Caenorhabditis elegans: one gene and its partner. The protein of the gene in region 1 interacts with the protein of each later gene in a pairwise test. Each region holds a gene or a part of one and is shown in the gene's direction. Other genes may lie near its edges.

Region 1 (7,663 bases):
AATGGTCTTGTTGAATACTGTCTTTGTTTCTGCCTATATTTTAATTGCCATGGTAGTAAGAGCATTCCGAGACTCTCTTAGTCTCACAAATTATAAATTTATCGCGATTAACACATTTGTAAGTTATTACTATCTGGTAAAGCATTTCAAAATTGAGATTTCAGATATTTCCTTACGTGTCATTGCTACTTTCTATGACAATTTTGGTGACCACCAGGAACGAGTTCCAGAGAAGACAACTCCGAGAGCTGAACCAAAATGGGAAAGGAGTATCGCAAACTTATTTCAATCTATATCAGCGGCAATGGAGCGTTATTTCCGAGAGAAAATGAATTTATCATAAATATTTTGTGACTAGAAATTGTGTGAATAATGTAAATTCGGGTCATCGTTTTTTTTTAATTGTATAAATTTAATTAATGAATATATATTTTTTTAATTTCTTATTCTGCATATTTTATATAAAAAGTGTTCTATTATTTGTTGGATTGTTGTTTTTAGGGCTATTAAATAGGGCATTTTCTCAATTTTTATATCATAGAGCGCGTATATGGATTTGTTTTTTTTTTTGTTGAAAAAAAAGAAAAACTAAAGCTGTTCTTTAAAATAATTTAAATAGGTATGTATGTATTTGAATATGTGGTTGAATAAAAGCAACAAATACGTGGTTTTGTAGCAATTTTCAGAAAATAGCTAAGCCAGAATACTTCCGTTGTTACATCTTGTCCTATAATCATTTTCAAACAAATTGTTCAGTTTTGTGGGTTCGGTTAAAAGATATAACATGATAAGGTTTCGATCTGATATGATCGGAACACGTTTTCTGTTTTCACTTTTTCAATCACAGACGACTATGTCTGCCATCCTCTTGTCTTACTCTAACATCATTTGAAAAATCTTAAATTGATTAGGTTTTTTGTGGAATTTTAAAGATAGCTTAGTATTGAAATTTTTTTGAATGTTACAATTGGAGTGGCATGGATTCATTGAGATGGGTTCCACCGCAAAAATAATGTTTATACCTACTTCAAATTTTTTGGGGATATTCTTTAAAACTTCTAAAAAGGGAAACGAGCAGTCGAAAAATAAGAAAAAATGCAAAAAATTATAGTTTTGTTTCTAAAAAATTGAAATGTATTTGATATCAAATTTGATAAATATGCTATTATAATGAGTTTTACCGGCATTTCGAAGTTTTCCTTCCTTGAATTTAGTTACTTTCCAAATTTACATCATAAATCTCTTTCTTATAAAATAAAAATTCATCTCTACACAAAACAATGTTCAAAAGAGCATCAAAAAGAGCACTTTGTTCGTGAGATGTGAAGAGAAAGGGTCAACACATGTTATTTATCACCGTAAGTCCGTTGAGGGGCCGCCACTATACGGGTTGAAAAGACGAGAGATACACCCCGCAAAAGAGACCCAGAGAGTGCGATGGAGCGCGTTTGCATTTCTTACTCAGTGTTCACCCGTTCTATCGATTCCATCGACAGTATTTTTAAACTCCACAGGGTTATTAATTACTAAAAATGTGTTATTTGAGAATTTATTGATTTTGAATTTTTCTCAATTTTTTTTGTTAAAAATTTATCGAATATGTTCACCGAATACAGTATTTTTTCAGAAAATGGAACCTGGTTCGGGTTCTCCGTTATCGGCTCGAGCGAAATTTCAATTCGAAGGTTCAAATAACGATGAGGTGAGGTTTTGTTTCCCACACATTCAAACTTGTGAAATTTTTTTTTAATTTAAAAAATAGTACATACTTAAATTACTTTTTGACAAAAGTATCATTCCACGAATTTTCAGCTAAGTTTCGACAAGGATGACATCATCACAATAACACAGCAGCAAGAAGGCGGATGGTGGGAAGGAACACATGAAGGAGTGACCGGATGGTTTCCGTGTGCCTATGTAACTCTCATCACAGAAAAAGGTAACTTGAATCGGAAAATTCGAGCTAATACCCACAAATTGCAGACAAACTCCAGCGATCTCGATCCGTCCCAAATGCAACTGCAAAAGGTATATCTCATGAAGATTTACTCGTTGAGACAATTCAAATTTAAAAATTCAGAAGTGGTATCCGTCGGAGCTCAACCAGATTATCGAGACCTTGTGCTCAAAAGTTATATTGAATCGGAAAAGGAGTACATGCAAAGCTTGCTCAAAACGTTGCAATCTCTATTGATTCCAATTGGGGCATCTAAAATGTGAGTTTTAAAATGTTTTTTTTAACTTTCAAAATGTGAATTTAATTCATTGCGGATTTTTCTTATTGCTTTTTTTGTTGATCAATCCAGATTCTAAAAATTGATAACTTGAAATTTGGAATGATGGGCACCTCTGCGCTATGAAAAAAAGTATCTTAAAAAGTGGGGCGAGTAGCTCACTGTTTCAAAATACAGTCACAGGTCCCATTTTTCAAAAAAAAATTGAGTCTAGCTAAAGCTTTAAAAAAGTATACCTAAATTATTACCTAAATTATTCATATTTATTTACAATTTACTTTGAGATTTACATTGAGAAAAACATCAAGTTCCATTGCATTTCCGGTGGATTTTCATTTTTGGGTACGACAATAATACATTTTTGACAATTTTCAGCTTGACGGCTCCAGAATACTGTACGTTGGTTGGGAATTTCGAAGTAATTTACACTCTGAAACGTGATCTTTTTGAACAACTGGAGCGTGAGCAAAAGTGAGTTTTAATTTCTCCAACCTTCTTCAACTTTCTTATTTCAGTGAGGAGCTTCCAAAAATGAGAGTCGGTGGAATGTTCATGAATGCTGCTCTTGAGCTCAGAACGGCACTAATGAGTTATGCTGACAATCATCCAGACGCTGTCGAAGTTCTCAAGAAGAAACAGTAAGTTTTGACAGAGCTAGAGAATGTATCGAATGTATTGTTTCGCGTTTTCAGGAAGGAGTTGGAAAAGGTGGTAAAGTCGCAGGATCGGGAGTACAAGGAATTGGTGTTAGGACTCAGTGAGCCACTCCGGCACGTCGAGAGGTACTACAACTTGCTCCAGGAGCTTGAGCGAATTGTTCCGGTGAGTATTTGAATCTAAATGAGAAAAAAAAACATAGGTCAATCGATTCATTAAACTCTGGAATTTTTTTTCATAGAGAAAGCACAGTTGTTTAATTAAAATACATCATTTTTGTGAAAATTTTATTATGATAATTTTTTTATGTTAAATTATCAAGTCTACTCATGTGAACAAACGTTGTTAATGCATAATAATTTTTATATCATTTTGAGTCAATGAGATCATCATCAAAAAAATTTTCAGGCGAATCATCCGGACCGTGGAGATTTACAACGTGGATCGGCAGTTTTTCGGGAAACAAAGGTGCGTTGTTTTAAAAATATTAGAAACACAAATCTAACTGACTCACAAGAATTAGGATCAACAAGTTTTAAAATCAAACTATTTTTAGGATTTGTGTGAAACCCTTCGTAAGCAGAAAGAAGCCCAACTCGACTTCTTGTTTGTGTCAAAAGTGGACAAGGTGGTTTCAGCGTCAGAACGAGGATCTATTCTCTATGTGGGTGTTGCAAATGTGGAATACAAGAAAGCGGATGCAGTGGATCGGTGAGTTGCCGAAAATTTTACCTGTTCAAATTTAGAAGTGATTTCAGATTCGTGGCATTGTTCACTAAATACATTATGTTTTTCGAAGTCACCAAGGATATGACATACGACATTAAGGAGAAGTTTACAGTGTCCGGTTTTATTGTTCGGAAAAAGGAAGCTACTGAAATTTCATTTGGTAAAATATTCGGATAAAAAATTAAAATTAAAAAAAAAAACAAATTAGTAACCCAAGTTTTTCTAGATCGCCCCAACACTGGAGAATTCACTCTAACGATGGTTTCAACCGGGGGTGAGGTGGAGAGATTCCTTGTTGCTTTGGCGAAAGCTGAAAACGTGGCAATCATCACTCCGACGACAACTATCTTGAGGAGACCTTCCAAAAATGCTAACGATACAATGAATCAATCACAGACTCAAGGAGCAGAGACTCCTCTGGTCGCAAAACCCCCACTTCATCCCCCAGGAAACTCGGATCAACAGTATAGTATGATGAACAAAAGAAAAAGCTCGAAGAAGTGAGTGTTTTCATGTTAACCGTGTAAAATTGGAATGAACAGACAATTATCAAAAATGTCTTCGCAACGTTTAACCCTCAATTATTTTCGATTAAGTTATATTTCTTTTCGCCGCCCGGTTAGCTCAGTCGGTAGAGCACCAGACTCTTAATCTGGTTCTCGCGGGTTCGAGCCCCGCATTGGGCTTAGTTTTTTGTTCGTTGCGATTGGTTTTCCTATTACAAGTATTTAAAGAAATTCCATGATTTGCCAAATTTTGAGATTAAATTCGTGATACCAGTTTGTATTATTCTCAAAACTTCAAAAGTAGTACCAAAACGGAAAAAAATTAAAAAAAATTTTTTTTGAATATTAAACACTGTATTGAAAAAAAACAGCGTGGCGTTTATGCACAGATTTAAAAAAACATAATTTTTGAAATCTGTTCAAACACGCTACGCAGTTTTTTCTCAGTGAAAGTGTACATACCACATACCGAGACGAACAAGTGGCGTCAATCACATTACTGTCCTTGAAAAACGTGACATATTTCTATTTGAAAGGTCGCACCACATCTACTTTTGCCGCCCGGTTAGCTCAGTCGGTAGAGCACCAGACTCTTAATCTGGTTGTCGCGGGTTCGAGCCCCGCATTGGGCTTACGCTTTTGTCTATCTCAAATGATCATTAAAAAAACTTTACTATAAAATTTACTCACTTTTCTAAATTGGGGTGCGAAGTTTCTAGGTGGAATATTTTTTCAACATTAAAGGAATTTTCTTATTAAATCCTATACACTTTTTGAAAGTATCGCTATTCAATTAATTTTCAATGTCGCGAGAAATCAATTTTGCCGGTTTGTTTATTTTAACAGTGTTGGCAACGACCGACGACCTAACAAATTTCAACACACTATTACACTAAAAAGTGCGAGACACTTCCTGACAGCCACAAAGTGCGCCTGACATTTTCACTTTTTAAATTACACGCGCCTCGGTTCCTATCGCCGCCCGGTTAGCTCAGTCGGTAGAGCACCAGACTCTTAATCTGGTTGTCGCGGGTTCGAGCCCCGCATTGGGCTTACCTTTTTTTGCATTTGTCCTCTAGACAAATGTATGCAAAAAGATATTGCAAATACGATTTTGATGGGATGGGATAGAGTATGAAGCGAAAAATTTGATGTAAATTACTACTTAGATTAATTGGTATTTATGTATTAGATGGACAAATCTCTTCTCACCAAAAATCTCTATGTTTTTCGATCCCTCGATTTTGGATAACAAGACTTGGCAACATTAACGCTCACCAATTTAGGCAACACAAGAAATTGTGTGTTCTTCACGGATCAAAACACGAAGACTTTCTAACTGTCGCATGTGAAATTTCGGACTCAATAGATCACGAAGAATAGTTCGTAACAGATACAATGGCTATTGAGATAGGAGAAATTAGGGTGAAAAGTTTTTTGTGTGGACAATATAAAAAATAATGATAAAAAACAAATAAAACATGGAACGAGACCTAAATTTTGAAATTTTCAGCTTTGATGACAGTTTAAACTTGGGAAATATGAAGTTCGATCATGAACTCGGAATGGTGCTCCCTGAAGGATTTGAGCTGCCAACAAGCAGTCGCAATTCAAGGAATACTGCAGGTAGGAGATATTTTGTTATTTATTGTTTTCTCTGTCGTGATTATGATTATCAACTAACAAAAATCTTTTTCAGATAACCTGCAATTCTCCCAGTTCCCATCGTTTTTCCTAAGCGGGAACGCCGGCAAACGAGGTGATCGTAACATTCGACTTCGAAAAGACGCGGCTCGTGATGAGGAGATTGAGTTTGAGACACTTCGAATTTTGGAAGGATACTGTGTGGAAACTGGTGGCGGACAGTCGGACTTCCATGCAAATGAAAGTTATCAACAACCACATTTGATTGTTGCAGAAGATGAGAAGATTCTGATGGAGGAGATGATTGGAGATGAAGTTGTTTTGCAAGAGAAGTAAGTTTTTTTTTGAACGATGAGACCTTAGAAGAGTCCAGTTCAGTTTTTCTAGGGTCAAGATTGTACACAATTTGTAAAAAAATTTAACCTTTTCGTTTCCTCTTCTCTTGCTGAATCATAGATATTAGGGTGGCGTATATGAAAAAATTGGGTGGGAAAATAACGGACGAATAGGAAAATCGATAATTGATTGATAAGAAAAACTAACTTCAGCAAACCTGAAATATCTAGAAACTTTGCAAAATTGGAATCCCCCCCCCCCCCCAAATTGATGTTTTTTTAGTAAAGAAGTTGATTTTTCTAAGGTTCTTTTAAAATTTCTGTTTTTTTTTTTCAAATATGTCCAGTGTTGATTCCCAAGTAGAGTAATTTGGGCACGTGGCTCAGCTTTGAACAATTTTTTAGTTCTCAATTCAAAACCGGCCAAAACGTTTTCCACTGTGTATTTAAAACTGAATGAGTTCTCAACTGATTTCGCATGGTTAAGAACGTGCTGACGTCACATTTTTAGCAACAAAAATCCCCCATATTTTGTAGATCAAACCGTAATCGGACAGCCTTGCACAACGTGCCAATAGTGATATTCCTAACAAGGCCCTTCATTTCGAAGCCAAAAAGAGATCAAACATTTACTTTCTGTAAAAATATAATTTTTGATCACCAGTAAATAATGATTGTTTTCATCTAGTCATGTTTGCTTCTTCTTTTTCTTCTTTTGTCTGTTTTGCATATCGTCCATTTTCAGTTATTATTTTTCGTACTGCTTTTAAAGAAAAGTAATAAGCTGACAAGGAAAAACAAGTATCCCCAAAGATAACAAGATGAAGAGGGGATAATTTTTGTAGAGACAATTTTTTGTAGTTTCCTTGTTTACTGATATTATTTGGTATTATAGTATTATAGCCGTTCATCGGAAATTGTTGTCTGATGAAAAACAGGACGTGAGTTGTTTTTTAGATAACTTTCAGTAGGATAGCTTGTTTTGTCATGTTTTCGACCTTTTTCGACCTTTAAGTGAAAACCATAACAATCTTTATTTCAAATTTCCCTTCACAAGTGTGTAATTTAAATAAATTTATAAGCTATTCTTCAACGAACATAAAAAGATTCGTGCATTTAGAAAACATTTCAAATTTATCTTTAAAACTTTATGTACATCGAACTTAGTTAGACATCGTCTATAAATCTGTCATTTTCATTCGTCGTACTCCTTGAGCACATCGGATGTATTTAGTTTGAACTTGAATAAGTGACCAGTATTTCCCAATGGTCAATTCGCTCTTGCTCCAACGACAATATCTATTCCTCCGACTTGCTCTCTCTTCGTCTATCTAGATTTCCGTTTCATTGCTCATTTGTCACCTCTTCTTTTTTTTTCAGAAGTATTGTGGATGCTGTGTACGCCATCAAAGATCAACTTTCGTTCCTTCAGACCGAATTTCAAAAACTAGCAAAAGTGAGTGAAAAATTCTTCTCTTCTGGTCTGTCACATCTAGCACCAATAATTTCATTTTTCCAGGTTGTTGAATCCGAACAAAAAGCACGCCGTCGTCTGGAG
Region 2 (6,869 bases), on another chromosome or scaffold:
TATTCAGGAGCGCCTTCTTCATCGCCCATCCGCCCGTCCAGAACAAAATAATTATCAAAAATAATGTTTTTTTCCCGATCGCTTTTTTTTCAATTCTAGCCCACCCACCCACGCATTTTTTGCAATTTTTTAAATACTTCCTACCCGAACAACCGTGCCTTTATCTCTGAAAATCTCCTCACTTTATATGTTTTGATTTTTCTCGAAAAATTCTTTCAATTCAATTCTGACGTGGTGTCAGAGTGTCTCATTTCGGCTTGATCTACGTTGATCTACAAAAAAAAGTGCGGGGAAATGGAGGCAGAGTTCTCAACTCATTTTGCAACAAAAAAAATTCCCGCATTTTTTGTAGATCAAACCGTAATGGGACAGCCTCTGGCACCACGTGTATTCTATTCTATGATCTTTTGAGCTATTCACACCAATTTACACATACAATTTTCGAATTTTGCATCTGAACTCCCTTACCTCATTGAATATAAAAATTATTTAACTTTTTTTTTTGGAAAATTTTTGTTTTTTTTTTCGGTTTTTTATCCGAATTTCTACTATTTTGGGTTTTAAAAATTTTAGTTTAAAGGTACAGTCAAACTTTTTTTTTCTTCAAATTTGGGCGGCAATTGCCGTTCGGCAAATCGCGGAAATTGCCGGTTTGCCGGAAATTTTCAATTTCGGTAATTTGCCGATTCGCCGGAATAATTCAATTCCGGCAATTTGACTATTTGCCGGAAATTTTCATTTTCGGCAAATTGCCGATTTGCCGGAGATGCTCAATTCTGGCAGTTTGCCGATTTGCCGGAAATTTAAATTCTGGTAGTTTGCCTATTTGCCGGAAATTTTCAATTTCGGCAAATTGTTGATTTGCCGGAAATTTCAATTTTCGATAATTTGCCGATTTGCCGGAAATGTTCAATTCCGGCAATTTGACTATTTGCCGGAAATTTTTAATTTCGGCAATTTCTCGATTTGCCGGAAATTTCAATTTTCGATAATTTGCCGATTTGCCGGTAATTTTTCTTTGTCGGCAACTTCTCGATTTGCCGGAAATGTTCAATTTTGGCAATTTGCCGAAAATGTTCAATTCTGGCAATTTGCCGATTATGCCGGAATTTTCAATTTCTGCAGTTTGCCGATTTGCCGGAGATGCTCAATTCTGGCAATTTGCCGGAAATTTCAATTCCGGCAAATGGCCGGTTTGTCGACTTGCCGATTTGCCGGAAATTCATTTTCTTTATTTTCGGGCTAAATTCTTCGGTTTATTTTGTTAACTTTTTCTTCTGTTATTTATAAAAAAATTTAAAAAAAATTTCCGCCAAATTGCCGGAATTGACCCTTTCTGGCAAATCGGCAAATCGCCAGAATTGAAAATTTTCTGGCAAGTCGACAAATTGCCGGAATTAAAAATTTCCGGCAAATTGTGCTTTTTCACATTTTTGATTTTTCAAAAATTAAAAAAAATTTTTTAGTTTTTTTACAGTCATATTCGGTCATTAGAGTCTATTTTCTGCCAAAAAAAAAAAAACAGAAAAATTTTTTTAAAATAAATAAATAAAATTTTTTCGACTCTCCTCCACCTATTATAACTTAATCTCATTCAGAAATGGGAGAACCTTCACCTAGTCGGCGTCGATCAATCACCTCAGGAATACCATGCCCGTCACCAACGAAACAAGTCCTACCGCCACCGCCACCAGAAGAATTGCACAATATTCTACGAAAACGGCCACGGAGCAGCGCCATTCCGACGACGAGCCAGACTCATGTGAGAGCTCCACGTAAGGAGACGGATGTTGTCGATCGGATTTGGCACGATATTGACGAGGAGCAACGAGAAAAGCTGGCTCGGCGGAAGGAAGAAGCCGCCAAGAGAAAAGAGCAACAGCCGGCTCAACACATCAGGGACTATTTGCCATTGACTGCGACAAATTTGAGGAATTTCCGGAATGAAGACTCGACGATCAGTGATTTTATACATCGGCAGGGGATGGTTGACAAGCTGCTCGGCTACAAAATGCTGCTGGGAAAAATGGAGAACTGCGGGACGCTGGGCTACGAGAAAATGAGCGAAGACGAGGTTCAGCAGCTCTCCAGGGAATGGCTCAAAAACTTTTTCCCTTCAGAGCAAGCCCACGTCGGCCCACGTACCCCACCGAGCCCCGCCGTCGATTCTGATGGTGGTAGTTATCCGAAACGGCCTCGTCGAGGCCCGAAAACTCCTCCCGGATCTCCTGGGCCTTCGATGGATCAGGCGGCCGTGAATCGACGGGAGCTCATCGAGCAACTTGCGAGAAATTTTGGAATTAGTTCGTATAAAGTGGAGGAGACACTTGGCACTGGGTTGGACAAGGCGCTTGAGGATTGCTCGAAAAAGTTGAAGAATGAGCTGATGGAGACGTTTAAGGATCAGCTGTTGAGCCAGATTGATCGGAAAACTAAAATGTATGAGAGTTGGAATATCAATGAATTAGAGAATCCTATGTGAAAAAAATGTCAAAAATCGATAATTTCCATGAAAAATCGATAATTTCTATCAAAAATCGATAATTTTTATTTCTGAAAAACTCGATTTTTGATATAAATTATCGATTTTTGATTAAAATTATCGATTTTTGATAGAAAATATCAAAAATCGATAATTTCCATGAAAAATCGATAATTTCTATCAAAAATCGATAATTTTTATTTCTGAAAAACTCGATTTTTGATATAAATTATCGATTTTTGATTAAAATTATCGATTTTTGATAGAAAATATCAAAAATCGATAATTTCCATGAAAAATCGATAAATTTCATCAAAAATCGATAATTTGAATTTTAAAAATATCGATTTTTGGTATAAAATATCGATTTTTGATTAAAATTATCGATTTTTGATAGGAATTAACAAAAATCGATAATTTCTATCTTCACCGAAAAATCAATATTTTATCGATTTTTATAAATTTTTTGCAATAAAAAAAATCTATATTTTATCGATTTTTATAAATTTTTTGCAATAAAAAAATCAATATTTTATCGATTTTTATAAATTTTTTCATTAAAAATTAATATTTTATCCTTTTTTTCAACAAAAAACTAATAATTTATAAATAGATTTTTCCAGAATAAAAATCGATTTTTAATCATTTTTTCTTTAAAAAAATCAATATTTTACCGATTTTTAATCTTTTTTTCAGAAAAATCAATATTTTATCCTCTTTTTTGTTCAACAAAAAAACTAATAATTTATAAATAGATTTTTCCAGAATAAAAATCGATTTTTAATCATTTTTTCTTTAAAAAAAATCAATATTTTTCCGATTTTTAATCTTTTTTTCAGAAAAATCAATATTTTATCCTCTTTTTTGTTCAACAAAAAAAAAATAATTTTCAGATTTTTCGAGGAAAAAAATCGATTTTTCTGAATTGTTTTTTGCGATTTTTCAACAAAAAAAAACAATGTTTTCTAGATTTTTTAAACAAAAAATATCGATTTTTAACAATTTTTTCAATTTAATGAACATTAATCAACATTGGTAACAAAATCAATATTTTATCGATTAAAAAAATTGATTTTTTATCAATTTTTTAAGAAAAAAAATAAATGTGTTATCGATTTTTTTTTCAAAAAATTAACACCACTGTCGATTTTTCTGAATTTCTTTTTTGCAATTTTTCGGGATCCCAGGGAATCGAAAAATCGAAAAATTTGTTCGATGAAACCCTCATTTAAGATATTCTTTTTAAAAAGATATTAATTTTCAGTCGGGACGATTTATCGGATCAAATGGAGCTGGTCTCGGATTGCTCACTATCACCAGATTTGATAAAAAAGGAAGAACCAGACGTTGTGTATCATATGGCAGTACCACCACCACCTATACCTCCACCAATTCAGCCACCTCCTTATTCGTAAATTTTTTCCAGAAAAATTATTTTTTATTAAAAAAAAAGTTTTTTCAGTTACTACCCAGTAGCTCCAGCTGCTGCTCCACAAGTCTACCATTATGCTCCACCACCGCCACCACCGCCCCCGCATCCCCAGCAGGGGTTATATCAGCAGAATATGATGGCCTATGTAGGTGTTTTGTGGAAGCCTGGAGGCCCGGTTTTTGGAAAAAAATTGGTTTTTTTTTCAGAAAAAATTTAAAAAAAAACAAAACATTTTGATTTTTTTCCCCGAAAAAAAAAATTCAAAAAAAAGTTTCAAAACACAAACAAAAAATTCTGAAAAAAAAAAAGACGAAAAATTTAGATTTTTCCAGTAAAAATTTAAAAAACCCCCTAAAATTTTAGATTTAAAAAAAATTAAAAAACGAAAAATTTCGATTTTTTAAAAGAATAAAATCTAAAAACGAATAATTAAAAAATTTAAAAAAAAACGATTTTTTCAGTAAAAAAAATATAAAAATGACTAAAATCAAAAAACGGAAAATTAGAATTTTTCAGAGAAAAAAAACGGATTTTTTCAGTAAAAAGATAAAAAAAGTGATACATTTTTGATTTGATAGAAAAAAATATCGAAAAACAAATTTGTTTCATTTTTTCAGAAATTGTCAAAAAACGACAAATTTTTGGTTTTTTCATTTAAAACTATTCAAAAAAAGTAACATTTTTGATTTATTTTTAAAAAAATCGAAAAACAAATTTTTCATTTTTTTTCCAGAAAAATCAAAAAACCAATTTTTAGAAAAATAGATCAAAAAACAAAGGTTTTTTTTGGTTTTTTCAAAAAAAAATTTTTTTTTTAAATCAAAAAACGAAAAATTCGAATTTTCAGAGAAAAAACGGCATTTTTCAGTAAAGAGATAAAAAAGTGATACATTTTTGATTTATCTAAAAAAAAAATCGAAAAACGAAAATTTTCGATTTTTTCAGAAAAATATTAAAAAAACGGAATTTTTTTAGTGAAAAGCTTTTTTTTTCCGAAAAATCACTTTTTTTTGAGAAAAAATACCGGAAAACGGAAAATCGAAAAACTAAAAATTTCGATTTCTCAGCAAAAAAAAACTCGATTTTTTTTGAAAGATTCCCCAAAATTTTGGTCATTTTTCTTATTTTTAGACGTTATTTGTTTTGTTATAAAGTTATTTGTTTTCTTTCAATTCTGAGAATGCGTACTGCACAACATATTTGACGCGCAACATATTAAAATATCTCGTGGCGAAAACTACAGTAATCCCTTGAATGACTACTGTAGTGTCGATTTACGGGATCTCGATTTTCGAAAATTTTAATATTCTATCGACAAATAAATTGTATTAATTCTTTTTGAAAAACGAGCCCGTAAATCGACCTACAGTAGTCATTTAATGGGTTACTGTAGTTTTCGCTACGAGATATTTTGCGCGTCAAATATGTTGTGCAATACGCATTCTCAGAATTTAATAGTCCCGTTATAAAAATTTGAATTTTTTTTCGATTTTCTTCAATTTTTCGGTTTTCCGAAGTCAAAGTGTCTCATTTTGGTTTGATCTACCTAGATCTTCAAAAAATGCGGGAGAAGAGACGCAGACTTTTCAACTGATTTCGCATGGTTAAAAACGTGCTGACGTCACATTTTCATGGGAGAAAATTCCCGCATTTTTTGTAGATCAAACAGCAATGAGACAGCCTGACGCCACGTGTGATCCTTGATCTGATCCTTGAAATCCTGGGATTCATCAATCAATTTAAGTCTACTTTCTCTTTCAGCCCCCACCTATGCAACATTTCAATGCTCCACCGCCCCCAATGGCTCCGTATCAGCACCAGGCTCCTCCATCAATCGTCCTTCCACCGGTGAACGTTCCACCTCCACCGATTGGCGTCCGAATTGATACTCCAATTCCTACTGGCAAGACATTCCGATGAGTCGGATCCCCAAATAAGAAGAATCATTATTTCAGCAGTGCTGCCGATTCCAACGATGGTTCCACCACCTCCACTGCCACCACCACAAGCTCCATTCTCTGGAGATTGCTGGCGAGCACAGCCAGCGGCTCCGGTTCCGGCCTCCGTGCCAGTCAGTTCGGCACCACCACCATCAGTGGTTGTTAATGTACAAAGTACTCTATTCTCTGCTCTCGGGCTTCATCACAAGCCTCCACCTCCTCCTCCTCCACCTCCTCCTCCGACAACTTCTTCTACTACTACATCTCACATTCCACCACCACCTCCTCCTCCGCTTCCGTTCTCTTCGGCTCCGCCACCACCGCCACCGCTTCCGATGGTCGCTGCTGGTCCGTCTCCGCCGAGCTTTGTTCCTCCTCCTCCGCCTCCGAATCCGAATCAGAATCCGTCTATCGTTTTGTCACCATCGGCGGTAACCGGAGGCGGCGGCTACCGGCATCGTGTCAATCAGTTTCCGCCGCAGCAGCAGCAGTCGTTCTCGAACTTTTGAATCCTTTCACGTGGTGTCAGAATGTCTCATTTTGGCTTGATCTACGTTGATCTACAAAAAATGCGGGAGAAGAGACGCAGAGTTCTCCACAGAGCGGCTTTTACTACGTGGCCTAGAAAAATCGAAAACTCGGCCAATGATTTATCTGGGATTTTTGACGTGGGATGTTTTTGAAACTTGACGAGAATACTCTCGAAAGGGGGTTCTATAGTTCCACCGTGGCGATTTTTGAGAAAATGTTCCGTATCGATGTTATGAAGGTGGCCGAGTTTTCTTATTTTACGGCCACGTAGTAAAAACCGCTCTGTGTCTCAACTGATTTCGCATGGTTAAGAACGTGCTGACGTCACATATTTTTGGACGGAAAATTCCCGCATTTTTTGTAGATCAAACCATGATGGGACAGCCTCCGGCACCACGTGTCCTTTCTCATTTGCCTCTCTGTGAAAAATCTGTGAATCTTGAACATATTTGAAATATCGATTTTTTTCTCTTCATTTCCTTGA

The links.
Region 2: the proteins of pix-1 (region 1) and sydn-1 interact in a two-hybrid assay, tested with the Caenorhabditis elegans proteins (one large-scale study listed by BioGRID).

What each region holds. Positions count from the first base shown.
Region 1 is NC_003284.9:13,725,672-13,733,334, forward strand, and holds the start of pix-1 (SH3 domain-containing protein), read left to right. Parts: upstream 1-1,621; 5' UTR 1,622-1,630; coding exon 1,631-1,702; intron 1,703-1,812; coding exon 1,813-1,939; intron 1,940-1,983; coding exon 1,984-2,028; intron 2,029-2,080; coding exon 2,081-2,216; intron 2,217-2,609; coding exon 2,610-2,705; intron 2,706-2,749; coding exon 2,750-2,872; intron 2,873-2,926; coding exon 2,927-3,056; intron 3,057-3,299; coding exon 3,300-3,359; intron 3,360-3,447; coding exon 3,448-3,602; intron 3,603-3,649; coding exon 3,650-3,780; intron 3,781-3,846; coding exon 3,847-4,120; coding exon of another isoform or gene 4,121-4,124; intron 4,125-4,226; exon of another isoform or gene 4,227-4,315; intron 4,316-4,679; exon of another isoform or gene 4,680-4,769; intron 4,770-5,086; exon of another isoform or gene 5,087-5,196; intron 5,197-5,639; coding exon 5,640-5,752; intron 5,753-5,825; coding exon 5,826-6,102; intron 6,103-7,485; coding exon 7,486-7,561; intron 7,562-7,624; coding exon 7,625-7,663. Other genes in the region: K11E4.6 (G_PROTEIN_RECEP_F1_2 domain-containing protein), read left to right, coding at 1-118, 165-332.
Region 2 is NC_003279.8:2,376,583-2,383,451, reverse strand, and holds sydn-1 (Synaptic defective enhancer 1), read left to right. Parts: upstream 1-1,600; coding exon 1,601-2,439; intron 2,440-3,746; coding exon 3,747-3,893; intron 3,894-3,944; coding exon 3,945-4,059; intron 4,060-5,675; coding exon 5,676-5,817; intron 5,818-5,869; coding exon 5,870-6,363; downstream 6,364-6,869. UniProt on the Caenorhabditis elegans protein: Acts as a negative regulator of nuclear pre-mRNA 3'-end processing (mRNA polyadenylation). Plays a role in tissue-specific expression of protein isoforms by regulating differential processing of pre-mRNA 3'-end (alternative polyadenylation).